2 linked regions of the Xenopus tropicalis genome follow. The protein of the gene in region 1 binds, or shares a complex with, the protein of each later gene. Links are inferred from orthologs where the notes say so. Each region holds a gene or a part of one and is shown in the gene's direction. Other genes may lie near its edges.

The links. Proteins that work in one complex are often made in the same cells at the same time.
Region 2: the proteins of arrb1 (region 1) and grm3 are in contact, whole or in part, in a cryo-EM structure (PDB 9II2), measured with the Homo sapiens proteins. The link is inferred for Xenopus tropicalis from reciprocal best matches to the Homo sapiens genes ARRB1 and GRM3. Residues at the interface, in NP_004032.2 of Homo sapiens: Gly5, Thr6, Arg7, Val8, Phe9, Lys10, Lys11, Ala12, Ser13, Pro14, Tyr21, Arg25, Arg65, Glu66, Asp67, Leu71, Gly72, Leu73, Thr74, Phe75, Arg76, Lys77, Arg103, Leu104, Lys107, Pro133, Arg236, Phe244, Asn245, Thr246; in NP_000831.2 of Homo sapiens: Pro605, Lys608, Ala609, Ile669, Phe670, Asp671, Gly672, Val673, Lys674, Asn675, Ala677, Gln678, Arg679, Lys681, Phe682, Ser684, Cys761, Pro762, Glu763, Phe765, Val834, Val835, Thr836, His837, Gln855, Ser856, Ser857, Ala858, Ser859, Thr860.

The regions. Positions count from the first base shown.
Region 1 is NC_030678.2:175,781,675-175,788,859, forward strand, and holds the start of arrb1 (beta-arrestin-1), read left to right. Parts: upstream 1-2,502; 5' UTR 2,503-2,846; coding exon 2,847-2,992; intron 2,993-7,185. UniProt on the Homo sapiens protein: Functions in regulating agonist-mediated G-protein coupled receptor (GPCR) signaling by mediating both receptor desensitization and resensitization processes.
Region 2 is NC_030679.2:81,082,529-81,088,938, forward strand, and holds part of grm3 (metabotropic glutamate receptor 3), read left to right. Parts: intron 1-2,747; coding exon 2,748-3,814; intron 3,815-4,585; coding exon 4,586-4,760; intron 4,761-6,410. UniProt on the Homo sapiens protein: G-protein coupled receptor for glutamate. Ligand binding causes a conformation change that triggers signaling via guanine nucleotide-binding proteins (G proteins) and modulates the activity of down-stream effectors.

The DNA.
Region 1 (7,185 bases):
ATCCACACTCATGCAGAATTCTCTGTGCTCTCCTCAACCCATACGCTATTGCCCTACTCCATGCTGGTCCTGCTGTTTGTACCTACTCCTACTGCACACTCGCTAATTACTCCCTACTTCTGCACAGCTTAATGTATTACTATGCTGTTTTTGTATGAATCAATAGAGTGTCCCACCCAATCCTATTTATGACGAGTCTTACTCCAATCTTGGCCTGACCTCGCTGCCTGTTTGTTCCCACTGATTTGATTTACTTTTAATTAGAAATTCAAACCAACGAGAAATGAGCCTCATACATCAGAACGATCCGGGCTCTGCTGAGCGTCGGCGCCCCCCTCTCGCCGCTTGGTGTTTGTTCAGCAACAAGACAAGTCCCTGGACCCCTAAACTTGTTCCTAGCAACCAACAGCCCCGACTGGGGGCAATAGATCTCTAGGCAGTAGCCTGTAGAACCTGCATGTTGTTCTTCCGCAGTGGCCTTTAGTCAAGTCTATTCCTTTTTGGACGGCGGTGTTAATCTTTCCGCATTTGTTTTGTGACCTCAGACATGTTTGTCATTGTAAGGCCGATGGAAACACTCAAATATTTATCCCCCAGTTTTTAAACCCCACTGGTGTTTGTTGGCAGGAGAGGGGAAATGAGACAATACATGGAGGCATGAACATGTTCCTGCACTTGCCCATGCTTTCCGAGACATCCCTCTTGCCCCCATTGCGCCCATTCACACTGGGGAACCCTGGAGCTACTGCCACCCTGGACCTTGGGTTCCCGCATCAGGTTGGGTCAATGCACTAGGCTGGCACCCAATGAACTCTCTGATATGGTAGGGGCATTAATACACCCACTTCTGTTGGTCCTTCCATAGTTTCCCTTTGGGTGGTCCTTGCGGGGTGACACCCAAAGGTGTTTATACCTCGTACTAGACCAGGCCTCACAACATGGCATTTATGGGCACAACTCCATGGCATATGGAACGGAAGTTGTTGTTGGCTTTTGCAGCCACTGCCTGGCACTGAGCTCCTCTCCTGAGTTTACTTCTGAGTTATTTTCATATCTCTCCATAGTTTCCCTTTGGGTGGTCCTTCCGGGGTGACACCCAAAGGTGTTTATTCCTCGTACTAGACCAGGCCTCACAACATGGCATTTATGGGCACAACTCCATGGCATATGGAACGGAAGTTGTTGTTGGCTTTTGCAGCCACTGCCTGGCACTGAGCTCCTCTGCTTAGTTTACTTCTGAGTTATTTTCATATCTCCCCATAGTTTCCCTTTGGGTGGTCCTTGCGGGGTGACACCCAAAGGTGTTTATACCACGTACTAGACCAGGCCTCACAACATGGCATTTATGGGCACAACTCCATGGCATATGGAACGGAAGTTGTTGTTGGCTTTTGCAGCCACTGCCTGGCACTGAGCTCTTCTGCTGAGTATTTTTCTGTGTTATTTTCATATCTCTCCATAGTTTCCCTTTGGGTGGTCCTTCTGGGGTGACACCCAAAGGTGCTTATACCTTCCGTGTACTAGACCAGGCCTCACAACATGGCATTTATGGGCAAAACTCCATGGCATGTGGAACAGAAGTTGTTGTTGGCTTTTGCAGTCACTGCCTGGCACTGAGCTCTTTTGCTGAATTTACTTCAGCATATCTCTCCATAGTTTCCCCGTTTGGATGACATTTAGCGGCTTTGATTTTATTCCCAAAATATAAACCAGACATTCATCTCCATGGATTGTGACCTTACGTTCACTCGCCCTGACTATTCCCAAACCCCTCAACGGAATTTATTTCTCTATTTTCTCCAGAGATTGATGCTTTTGGCCCACATCCAGACTTGGGGTTTTGTTTTTATAATACTCTTGTATGTGTTTTTGTATTTGTATGATTTAAAGGCAAAGTATTCTATTATTTGAATTGTGTTTTGTTTTGTTTATTTTGCCTGTTTCTGGTCCTGACTACATGCACCTCTCCCCCAGGCCTACACTCTAATTCCAACAGCAGAGATAGGAACCCTGCTTACTGGGCTGCCCTGGGAAATATGTTGTACAAGCAAAGCTAATTCACCTTTAAAGCATCTTGCCATACTTTCTTTATTTTGGTCCTGTTTCCATCATTTCCCACTGCTTCTATCCTGACCTACTGTCTCCATCTTGCCCTACTGTCTCCATCTTGCCCTACTGTCTCCATCTTGCCCTACTGTCTCCCATCTTGCCCTACTGTCTTCATTTTGCCCTACTGTCTCCATCTTGCCCTACTGTCTCCATCTTGCCCTACTGTCTCCATCTTGCCCTACTGTCTCCATCTTGCCCTACTGCCTCCATCTTGTCCTACTGTCCCCATCTTGCCCTACTGTCTCCATCATGACCTACTGTCGCCCTCTTGCCCTATTGACCATTGCCCTATCTTACCATTCTTCCTATCCCACTGTCTCCATCATATCTTACAATCCCCATTGTATCTTGCTGTTGCCATTTTGCTGGGGGGAATATTTGGGCCCCCTATCTCTGTCTCTGCATTCCCGCTGGCTGGGGAGGGTCTCACCCATACCCGCGGGAGGCTGCAGAGATTTGATATGCTGGTGTTGTGCCCGCGGCACGCTGTACTGCCGATGACGACACGAGCCAATCAGACTTGCACGCAGGGCATAACACAGTAAATGGGAGAATTTTGATGCAGCTGCTTGGATTGAGAGAGAGCGAGAGAGCGAGAGAGCGGCTGAGATTCCAGCCCGTGGGTAGTCGCTGCCATTGGAGAGAATAAAGGAATCAGTGGGGGGGAGAGAGCTGAGAGGGAAGGGACCGTCGCACACCTCGCTGGCTGGCAGGGCTGCAGTGATGCCGGTGCCTAGATGGATTACATGTGGATTGACAGCCCGTACCTAAGGATCAGAACCGTATTGGAGGAGTCGGTTCCTGCTTGCGTGGTGGCACCGCTGGGAATCCGCTGTGGGGAGCTGGAAGCCCACAAGGCCGCGCCAATGGAGAACGTATTTCTGTGAGTAAGGACAGGTCTGTGGCACAATGTGTGTCGGACTGGGCACAAGGAATCACCCACAGCGATGCCCCCTCGTGCCAACATGACCCCCGGGGTGTTACCTCTAATGAGCAAATCCCACTGTTATTCCCCTTAATGCCCGGTGCTTGCAGTGCCCCCTCTTTCTGTGGCCGGGCTGCCTTTAGTGCCCTGCAGTTTGTGTGGCCCCCAAGCTGTATGCAAAGGGACCCTCAGGGATTGGCTGTAACTGTAGTATAGTGTGTATAGTAAGGCAAGATGGGGCTCGGCATAGGGGCTACAGTGCTGGACAGTGTGCAGAATAAGGTAAGGTGGTGCCAGGAGAAGGGGCTCTAACTATGGCATAATGTGTATAGTAAGGCAAGATGGCACTCGGCATAGGGGCTACAGTGCCAGGAGAAGGGGCTCTAACTATGGCATAATGTGTATAGTAGGCAAGATGGCACTCGGCATAGGGGCTACAGTGCCAGGAGAAGGGGCTCTAACTATGGCATAATGTGTATAGTAAGGCAAGATGGCACTCGGCATAGGGGCTACAGTGCCAGGAGAAGGGGCTCTAACTATGGCATAATGTGTATAGTAGGCAAGATGGCACTCGGCATAGGGGCTACAGTGCCAGGAGAAGGGGCTCTAACTATGGCATAATGTGTATAGTAAGGCAAGATGATGGTAGGTGTACAGGCTGTAACTGGGGGGGGATGCTATGAAATGTAGAAATATGTAATAGGCTGCAGGGGGGCCCCGTAACTTGGCACAACCCTGCCCTGTTCTGGTATAGAGTTTGCACCCTTTGTGCACTGGCACCTCATTCCCAGTGGAACCCATTGGGCACGTAACCCCTAAAGGACTTGTGTCACTGGGAAGCTCTTGGAATACAGAAATGACGTCACAATAGTGCGGCCAATAATGTCATTTAATGGGGCTCTTGGCATTTTAGCAGCTATATGGTCGATAGGGTCCAAATTATCTTAGCAACCAGGCAGTGGTTGGAATGAGAGACTGGGATACGAATAGAAGTGGGACTGAATAGAAAGAAAAGTTACAGAGCTGTAACAATAAAACTGTGGCCGCACAGAGCAATGGGTCATTGGTTCCCAAGAGCACAATGGAGGCAATTCATTGGCTGAGTGACAGTGGGATGTGCAATCTGGCGGGGGGGGGGTGGGGGTCATATAATTAGATTAGGGCTGATAAGAGGATTAGCGTTAGGGAGAGTGGGATAAATATATAAGGCGCTTTGGCTGAGCAATGAAGCCTTTGGGGTAATTACCTTCCTTATCCGCTGGCCCAATCCGGGGCAACTGGAAGTGACCTGGATATTTAGGTGCTCTAATACCATCCAAGGCTGTAGTTGTATAACCAGGCACCCATGGGTGCTATAATTGGGCTCCCAAAACCTCTATTCGAAGTCTGGGAGCCCATTGGCCCTGTGACTTGTATCTTTCTGGGTGCAATTAAGGACTCAGCAGCAGGGGAGGGGGGTGACTGGTCTGGGGCCCAATCACAGTGCAGGGACGGGGCCATAGCCATTGTCATAGGACTGCAAAAGGTACAGGGTTTGCTGGTGAGATGGGCAGGGGTCTGGGCAGGTAAGAGGGTAACAGGGCAGACTGGGGGTTTTGCTATGTATGTACCTAGCCTTGGTTACATGGATTCTAGGGCTCAGGGCCTGTGTGTGGGCGGGGGGGCTAATAACCCAGGCTCCATTGTGGGGAAAGCCCTGCTGATAGCATGTGGCCCAGTCATCTGTCGGACCTGCCAAATATCCTGCATTTTTGCCCCCCGTATATTTAATGGTGATATAAACCCAGCCATGATGCTGCCCCACGGCGCCCCCTAGTTTTGCTATAGAAGCTGCCAAAAACCATCATTACAGATGCAAGGAAATTCCCCAATGAGAATTGTACTGATAAATAAGTTGATTATAAATGCAAAAGAACTGCCCAGTGAGAATGCTGATTCCCAGCACTGTGTCAGGCCCCTTGCTGGTACCTTACATATAGAGATAATGATGGCATTTTCTCCCCTCATTATATGGCACAGGAATCAGACATGGGGATAAAGGGACAGACTTGTTCAGTGCTGGGAAACTGTGCTTATTGCTCCCAACTCCAATTGCAGGAACAGAGAACAGGGAGCCGGATTTACTCACATCAGCTGGGATTCTCATTGGAGGATTTTTCGCATGTTAAAGCAGTCGCTGGCTGTGGGGATTTGGGGGAAAGTTTTATTGTGCAATATTGCTTTAAGAATACAGCCCTGATGTTGCTGGACTACAGCTCCCAGCATGCCCCAAGCTTCATTATATGTTACATTATTGTGGGATTTGTAGCCCAGTAACAACTGAGTAACGTTGGGTTGAGCCGCGCTGGGCAGCAGGGTTTGTATCCCCTTTAACCTTGGGTGAGCCAATGAGAGTACATGGTCAGGGAATAATCAGGAGTGGCTGGGACATGGCCATTAGGGGGGCACAGGGGGAGTCCAACCAGTTGTTATATAACTGCCCCCCCAGGTGAGCCTTTGCCCCCCCGCCAGTCATATGAGTGCATTTATTAGGTTACCATGGCGGCACCTTGGCACTGTATGTGGGCACAGAGCTGGCATCGGGTGTTGGATTGCTGGCAGGATTCCTTATCACCCTGGCAAAATATTTGAGGATTAAGAGGAGTTTAATTGCTCATTGTTAGCGTTTGGAAGCAAATTCACGGCGGTAGGCGTGGCGCATTAACCCTCGTTATACCGGAGGGGCCCCGGGTGTGTTCCCTTTATCCCAGTGTGGGGCTCAGTCCCTGAAGCCCAAACCCCCCAGCGCTAAACATGACACATAGGGTTTCATCATAGGGAAGTGAGGGCATAATCCCCGGGCCCCCCAATATTTGTACCATCAAGAGGCACAGGGGGGCCCAAGAGAAATAAAATTGTTATTGGTTATTTGGAGTGGGTGAAATTTGGGTGCAATGTTGGCACAGTTTTAGCTTTATGGGTCGGGACTGGGATATGGGGTGTGTCTGTGTGTGTTCTCATTGGGGTCCCATTTCGCATGTTGGCAGGATCCTCCCCCTGGGGGTCTAGGTGACCAATGGTAGTGGGGTAACTATAGTGGGCAAGATTTCCACACTGAAACTTACCATGCACATACCATGGGGGGCTGAGCCTAGGGGTTCTGCCCCCCCCCGGGTAGATATGCTTCTACCCAGTGGGTAAATAATTGGGGCTCCCTAGGGTGGAGGGCCCTGCTAACTTAGTACAGGTATGGGATCCCTTATCCGGAAACCCCTTATCCAGAAAGTTCTGAATTACGGAAAAGCCATCTCCCATAGACTCCATTATAAGCAAATCATTCTAATTTTTAAAAATTATTTCCTTTTTCTCTGTAATAATAAAACAGTACCTGTACTTGATCCCAACTAAGATATAATTACCCCTTATTGGGGCAGAACAGCCCTATTGGGTTTATTTAATGGTTAAATGATTCCCTTTTCTCTGTAATAATAAAACAGTACCTGTACTTGATCCCAACTAAGATATAATTACCCCTTATTGGGGCAGAACAGCCCTATTGGGTTTATTTAATGGTTAAATGATTCCCTTTTCTCTGTAATAATAAAACAGTACCTGTACTTGATCCCAACTAAGATATAATTACCCCTTATTGGGGCAGAACAGCCCTATTGGGTTTATTTAATGGTTAAATGATTCCCTTTTACTCTGTAATAATAAAACAGTATCTGTACTTGATCCCAACTAAGATATAATTACCCCTTATTGGGGCAGAACAGCCCTATTGGGTTTATTTAATGGTTAAATGATTCCCTTTTCTCTGTAATAATAAAACAGTACCTGTACTTGATCCCAACTAAGATATAATTACCCCTTATTGGGGGCAGAACAGCCCTATTGGGTTTATTTAATGGTTAAATGATTCCCTTTTCTCTGTAATAATAAAACAGTATCTGTACTTGATCCCAACTAAGATATAATTACCCCTTATTGGGGCAGAACAGCCCTATTGGGTTTATTTAATGGTTAAATGATTCCCTTTTCTCTGTAATAATAAAACAGTACCTGTACTTGATCCCAACTAAGATATAATTACAGGATTTTTAGCAGACTTCAAGTTATGAAGATCCAAATTACGGAAAGATCCCTTATCCGGAAAACCCCATTCTGGATAA
Region 2 (6,410 bases), on another chromosome or scaffold:
AATCAAATGCTTTGGTCCTATTTATCATACTATTTATGCCAGAAAATGGCATATTTATAAAGCCGTGTATTTTTTTATTCTGCATGATCACCGTATTCAACACCATAACATCATATTGCTATATTTGTGGCGTAACCTATTCAAGCTAACAGGAAACATTCTGGCAGAAAAAGATTGCATTACAAAGTGGTGATGGACAAACACAGGGTATTAGCCCAGAGGATCACCCTAGTAAGGTAAAAAGCTACAAGTCAACTTATGTTTAGTGATCCCTACGCTGATTTAGGGACAGATCTATGAACAAGTGATGGTTAATTCGAGGTAAAAAATAACATTTTGGCATAAAATGATTCACATAATCTGCCACATATACAATTATGCAGAGATGGCATAAATTTCAGGTGAAAGCTTTTCACCCGTTTAGTGCATATGCCACTTTAGTGGAGTTAGTGAAGTCTTTTATATGGCTCATTATTTGCAAGGCAGTGTGCAAAGTGAAAACAATGGAGCACAGGGGCTTATGGCTACTCGATGAATACAACACCATCTGCATTCAGGTTGTGAAAACAGGGTGGAACTGACACTGTGGTCTGCGCCTTACAACAGATTTTTTTTATTCAGCAAGGGGTGCAGAACTGGAGCAGAGACTTTTAATTCCCAATATTTCTTCAGCTGCTGCTCAACACCTGTCATTTCTGCCACGGAGGAAATTGATTCAATTCATTCATTACTTTTTGTCTTATACATTTCTATATTTACAATATATGCACAATTTCATGTTTTCTTGAGAGTCTTCTGTAGTGATGCACCTGTCTTGGTGTAATCATATGATTGGAGATGATGTGACAGATTGAATGGAATGCAATTTTCAGTTATACATCTAATAACTGTACGCAGTCTGTGTAGCATTTGTCTTTAGAGAGCTGTCTTAGCAACAGTAAGGGCTATGTTACTGATAACTTGGAAGTGACAGTTCTTAGTCAAATTTATTTCTTTTCTTAAATATGGAACTAAATGCATTAGAGCTAAGTGGTAAGAAAATAAAAACTGTGGGAATGAAAAGCTACATTCACACTACATTATCACCTGCATATAACTTTTTTTATTTTTTATTTTTATTACTTTTTTATTATCTTATGTTTCAATAGTATGTATGCATACATATACACTGTGTTTATAGAGTGCTATTTAAATATGCAATGCTGTACATTTCTATAGTACAGGCATGGGATTTCTATTTATAGACTGCTATTTGAATATGCAGTGCTGTACATTCCTATGACATTGGATTTCTTATAGAACCCATTAGCTGCAATGCTCAAAAATACAGTAGTACCATTTCCCATAGAGCGAAGTTTTAACAAATAATGTTTCATTTTTGACTGATAAATGAACTAAGCTAGCATAAAATCTGTTTTGATGCAAAAACATCATCATATTTTTTTATGTTTTTTATTGCCTTAAGCCATGGTACTCCATTACATGGTACTCTACAGAAAGACTCCATGTCCAGAAAAACCAAAATTCCTAGCCCTTTAAATAATACATTTTGTAACTAAACAGAAAAGGGACCCAAACAGAGCAATGATTTAAAATTAAAAGTACACAGATACACATGTATGGATGTATAAACTATCACACTAAGGGGCACATTTACTAACCCACGAACGGGCCGAATGCGTCCGATTGCGTTTTTTTCGTAATGATACGATTTTTTCGTATCTTTTGCGATTTTTTCGGCATCTTTACGATTTTTGCGTAAAAACGCGAGTTTTTCGTAGCCATTACGAAAGTTGCGCAAAGTCGCGATTTTTTCGTAGCGTTAAAACTTGCGCGAAACGTCGCGCCTTTTAAGTTTTAACGTTACGAAAAAGGCGCGACTTTGCGCGCAAGTGTTAACGCTATGAAAAAATCGCGACTTTGCGCAACTTTCGTAATGGCTACGAAAAACTCGCGTTTTTACGCAAAAATCGTAAAGACGCCGAAAAAAACGAAAAAAATACGAAAAAATCGCAAAATTACCGAAAAAGTCGCAAAATTTTCGTTTCCAATCGGAATTTTTCCAATTCGGATTCGAAATCGTGTCTTAGTAAATCAGCCCCAAAGTGTCACACAGAGGCACATTTTACACAATTTCTCTGACTGGCTTATCTACTCATAGCTACACTAACCTTTTCATTTCTCTTTATCCCACAGGGAGTTGTACATTAAACCACACTCATAAAATGGTACTTGCATCAAAATGCGTTTTTTGCACTTCCATGTACGGTAGTTGGTGCTGCTCACTATTTAGATGCAATAAAGCAATTTGTAATTTAGACTCCCTTATGTTTCAGAAAATGCACACCAAGCCTGAGGCACATTTACTTACACTGGGCAAATTATCATCAGGCCGTAACACATGGCAACTAATTAAATGTATGTTTTCATTGTTTCACTTGCATCTGAATAAACAAAGATACTTAGTGACTGGTTGCCATGGGTTACTTTACAGATGCCAATTTTGCCAATTGTCAGTAAATGAGCACCATACATTTTACAGTATATAACAAGTGAAACAATGTATGCATGATACAGCACCTCTAAGACAATGATTATGATATTTATTGTCTTTGACTATATGAATGTGTTGCTTACTAGTCACCAAGGAAATTGTCATTCACACACACACACACACACACATATATATATATATAAATATATCCTAAACACTGTTACTTAACGTTTGTTCTCATTTGTTTTGGCAGCTCCTTTTATACCACCCAGTAATACAGACAGCATTGTGAAATTTGATGCATATGGAGATGGAATTGGTTTATACAATGTGTTCAATTTCCAGTATCACAATGGTAAATATTCCTACCTGAAAATTGGCCAGTGGGCAGAAACCTTGTCACTGGATGTTGACATAATACAGTGGTCAAAAAGTTTGGTTCCAACATCACAGTGTAGTGACCCCTGCGCTCCAAATGAAATGAAGAATATGCAACCAGGAGATGTATGCTGCTGGATTTGTATCCCATGCGAGAAATACGAGTACCTTGCTGATGAGTTCACATGCATTGACTGTGGGGAAGGACGATGGCCTACCGCTGACCTAACCAGTTGCTTTGATCTACCAGAAGATTACATTAAGTGGGAGGATGCCTGGGCAATAGGGCCAGTGACCATTGCATGCCTTGGATTTGTATGTACTTGCCTGGTTGGAGGAGTCTTTATCAAAAACAATAGCACACCTTTGGTGAAGGCATCAGGAAGGGAACTCTGCTATATTCTCTTGATTGGAGTTTTTATGTGTTATTGTATGACATTTTTCTTCATAGCCAAACCTTCTCCTGTCATATGCACCCTTCGACGTTTGGGACTTGGAACATCTTTTGTTGTTTGTTATTCTGCTCTACTGACCAAGACAAATCGCATTGCCAGGATATTCAGCGGTGTAAAGGATGGTGCCCAAAGACCAAAATTCATCAGTCCCAAATCCCAAGTTGTCATATGTCTCAGTCTTATCTCAGTTCAGATTGTTGTTGTATCTGTATGGCTCATGTTGGAATTCCCTGGCACAAGACGCTATACACTTCCTGAAAAAAGAGAAACTGTTATATTGAAATGCAATGTCAAAGATTCCAGTATGCTAATTTCACTGACATATGATGTGGTCCTGGTGATATTATGTACTGTATATGCCTTCAAAACAAGGAAATGTCCAGAAAATTTTAATGAAGCCAAGTTCATTGGATTTACAATGTACACAACTTGCATTATTTGGCTTGCTTTCCTGCCTATATTTTATGTCACATCAAGTGACTACAGAGTAAGTACAATAGTCCTATTTATTTCTTTTTTTCTCACTGTATTATGACTAATATCTCTGTAGGAGCCCAGCAGTTAAAAATAACGCCACAAAATAAACTGCATGCTGTTGTTTATGGATGAGAAAAACATGCATGCTTCCCATAGGAAAATGTTAACCTCTAATTAAAAGTCGTAATGTTTTGCATGTAACATATAACTATAAGAAATATGAAAACTTAAATCATTTTTAGCAGACTTAAAGGAACAATTCAGTGTAAAAATGAAACTGGGCAAAATAGCCAGACTGTGCAAAATAAAATATATTTGTAATATAGTTAGTTAGGCAAAAATGTAATCTATGAAGGCTGGAGTGAGCAGATGTCTAAAGTAATAGCCAGAACTCTACTTCCTGCTTTCAGCTCTCTAACCTCTTTGTTCAGTGACTTTAGGGGGAAGGGGGGCACATGGGACATAACTGTTCAGTTAGTTTGTGAGCACGCAGGTCAGATTCAAATGCAAACAACTGAACAGTTATGTCCCCACCGAAAGTCACTGACTGGTTACTGATGGCTAACAGCTTAGACAGCTGAAAGCAGGAAGTAGAGTTCTGCCCATTATGTTAGACATCCGCCCCAGATACTGGTGCAAGTGCTCTGTGTATGGAGCAGTTGTGCCATAAAAATGGTAAATGAGCCCTAAAGTATTTTTGAAGCCTTAAACTCTAATGATGTTTCTATATCAGAATAGATATGAATGAAGTTTATGTTATAACATTTTTTTTGTATTTTAGGTCCAAACTACAACAATGTGCATCTCAGTAAGCCTGAGTGGCTTTGTAGTTCTGGGGTGCTTGTTTGCGCCAAAAGTTCATATTATCCTGTTTCAACCACAGAAAAATGTCGTAACACACAGACTACATCTAAATAGGTTCAGTGTTAGTGGTACAGCAACCACATACTCACAATGTAAGTACCTTTTTATTCAGCTTACAATAATTACAAAGCCCGCCAACACTGGGGGAATGTAATAAAAGTTGATGGCAGAAAGATATTAACAATGTGAACAATTTTCTCCTTGTGCATAATAGTTCTTGTGTAACTATTATGTATATATTAAAGTTGTTATTGTTATAACAATTCATTTAGCAATGTAATGTTTATGATTAGGCAGTTATTGCTTTGCACTTTGAAATCACATTAGTTTTTGGGGGGAGGTTGAAACCTGCTTATGTTATATTTTTTTCAAAAAATTATTATTTTTTATTATTATTATTATATACACTGCAAAGCAATAAAAGTGTGCTGCTTTTTCTCTAGCAACTGATGTCAGTATACACAAATTTCATATCTGGGCGCCCCTAGGGCTCCCCCAGTTGTCGCCCCCCCCCAAACCCGCGCGACCGCAAGTTTAAACTTCCATACGGAGCAGTGGGGAGAAGTCCCCATTGCTCCATATTTGAGGGAAATTTCTAAATTTTGTTGCTGCGGGGCGGCCTCGCCACAAATTCAGGCCTGAGTCTGTGCTAATACCTCAAACAACCCAATAGCCTGAGCTGTAAAAGTTTGGCATGTCTGTCTGTGCTATCCTCTGTAGTTTTTCTGTATCCACTGTATTGCTCTTTTACAGCAATAATGCAACAAACAGAACACACAGAAGAGCACAGATAGCCATACAGAATTAGTCCTGAAAGTGTCTTTTTGGAAGCAGCCACTGTGATATCTCTGAGTATTTAAAGGAACAGTAGCACCAAAATATGAAAGTGTATAAAAGTAATTACAGTATAATGTACTGTTGCCCTGCATTGGTACACCTGGTGTGTTTGCCTTAGAAGGACAACTATAGTTTATATAAACAATGCTGCTGTGTAGCCATGGGGGCAGCCATTCAAATGAGAAAAGGCACAGGTTACATAGCAGATAACAGATAAAACCCCATTATATTCTACAGAGTTTATCTGTTATCTGCTATGTAACCTGTGCCTTTTCTCCCTTTTTCCAGCTTTAATGGCTGCCCCCATGGCTACACAGCAGCTTATTTATATTAACAATAGTAGAGCTTCTGTTGCCAATACACTAATTTTACCAGTGCAAGGCAACATTACATTAGTTACTTTAAAACACTTTCATTTTTTGGTGTTACTGTTCCTTTAAAGTTTACCATAGACTTTAGTGAACTGGCATTTAGTGGGCAAAAACAGTGCCTTTTAGGCTAACTTAATATGTTACATTTATTTTTTAATAATTTGAACAATTAACTTCTCAAACATGAGGGTACCAGGGTTCTTGGTGGGATCTTGGTATCAGATTCTCTGGAGGGCCCTTGGTGCCCCAGACACTGGTGTTGGTATAGAGGTATTGGCATAGAGATTGGATTGGCATGTAGATTGCTCTAGCAACTCATCATTCCGACCACTCTTGCCATAGATGGCAAGTAATTTAATGTAATATTTTGGGTTAATTTACTATAAAAACTGCACTATGTTAGTATAGATGTCACAGGGAAATGCACCCTTATGTTCAGGCCCAGATTTGTGGTGAGGCCACAAAGGCCCGGGCCTAGGGCAGCACAACTTTAGGGGCGGCATGCCGCCCAGCAGCACATACACATTGTTCACA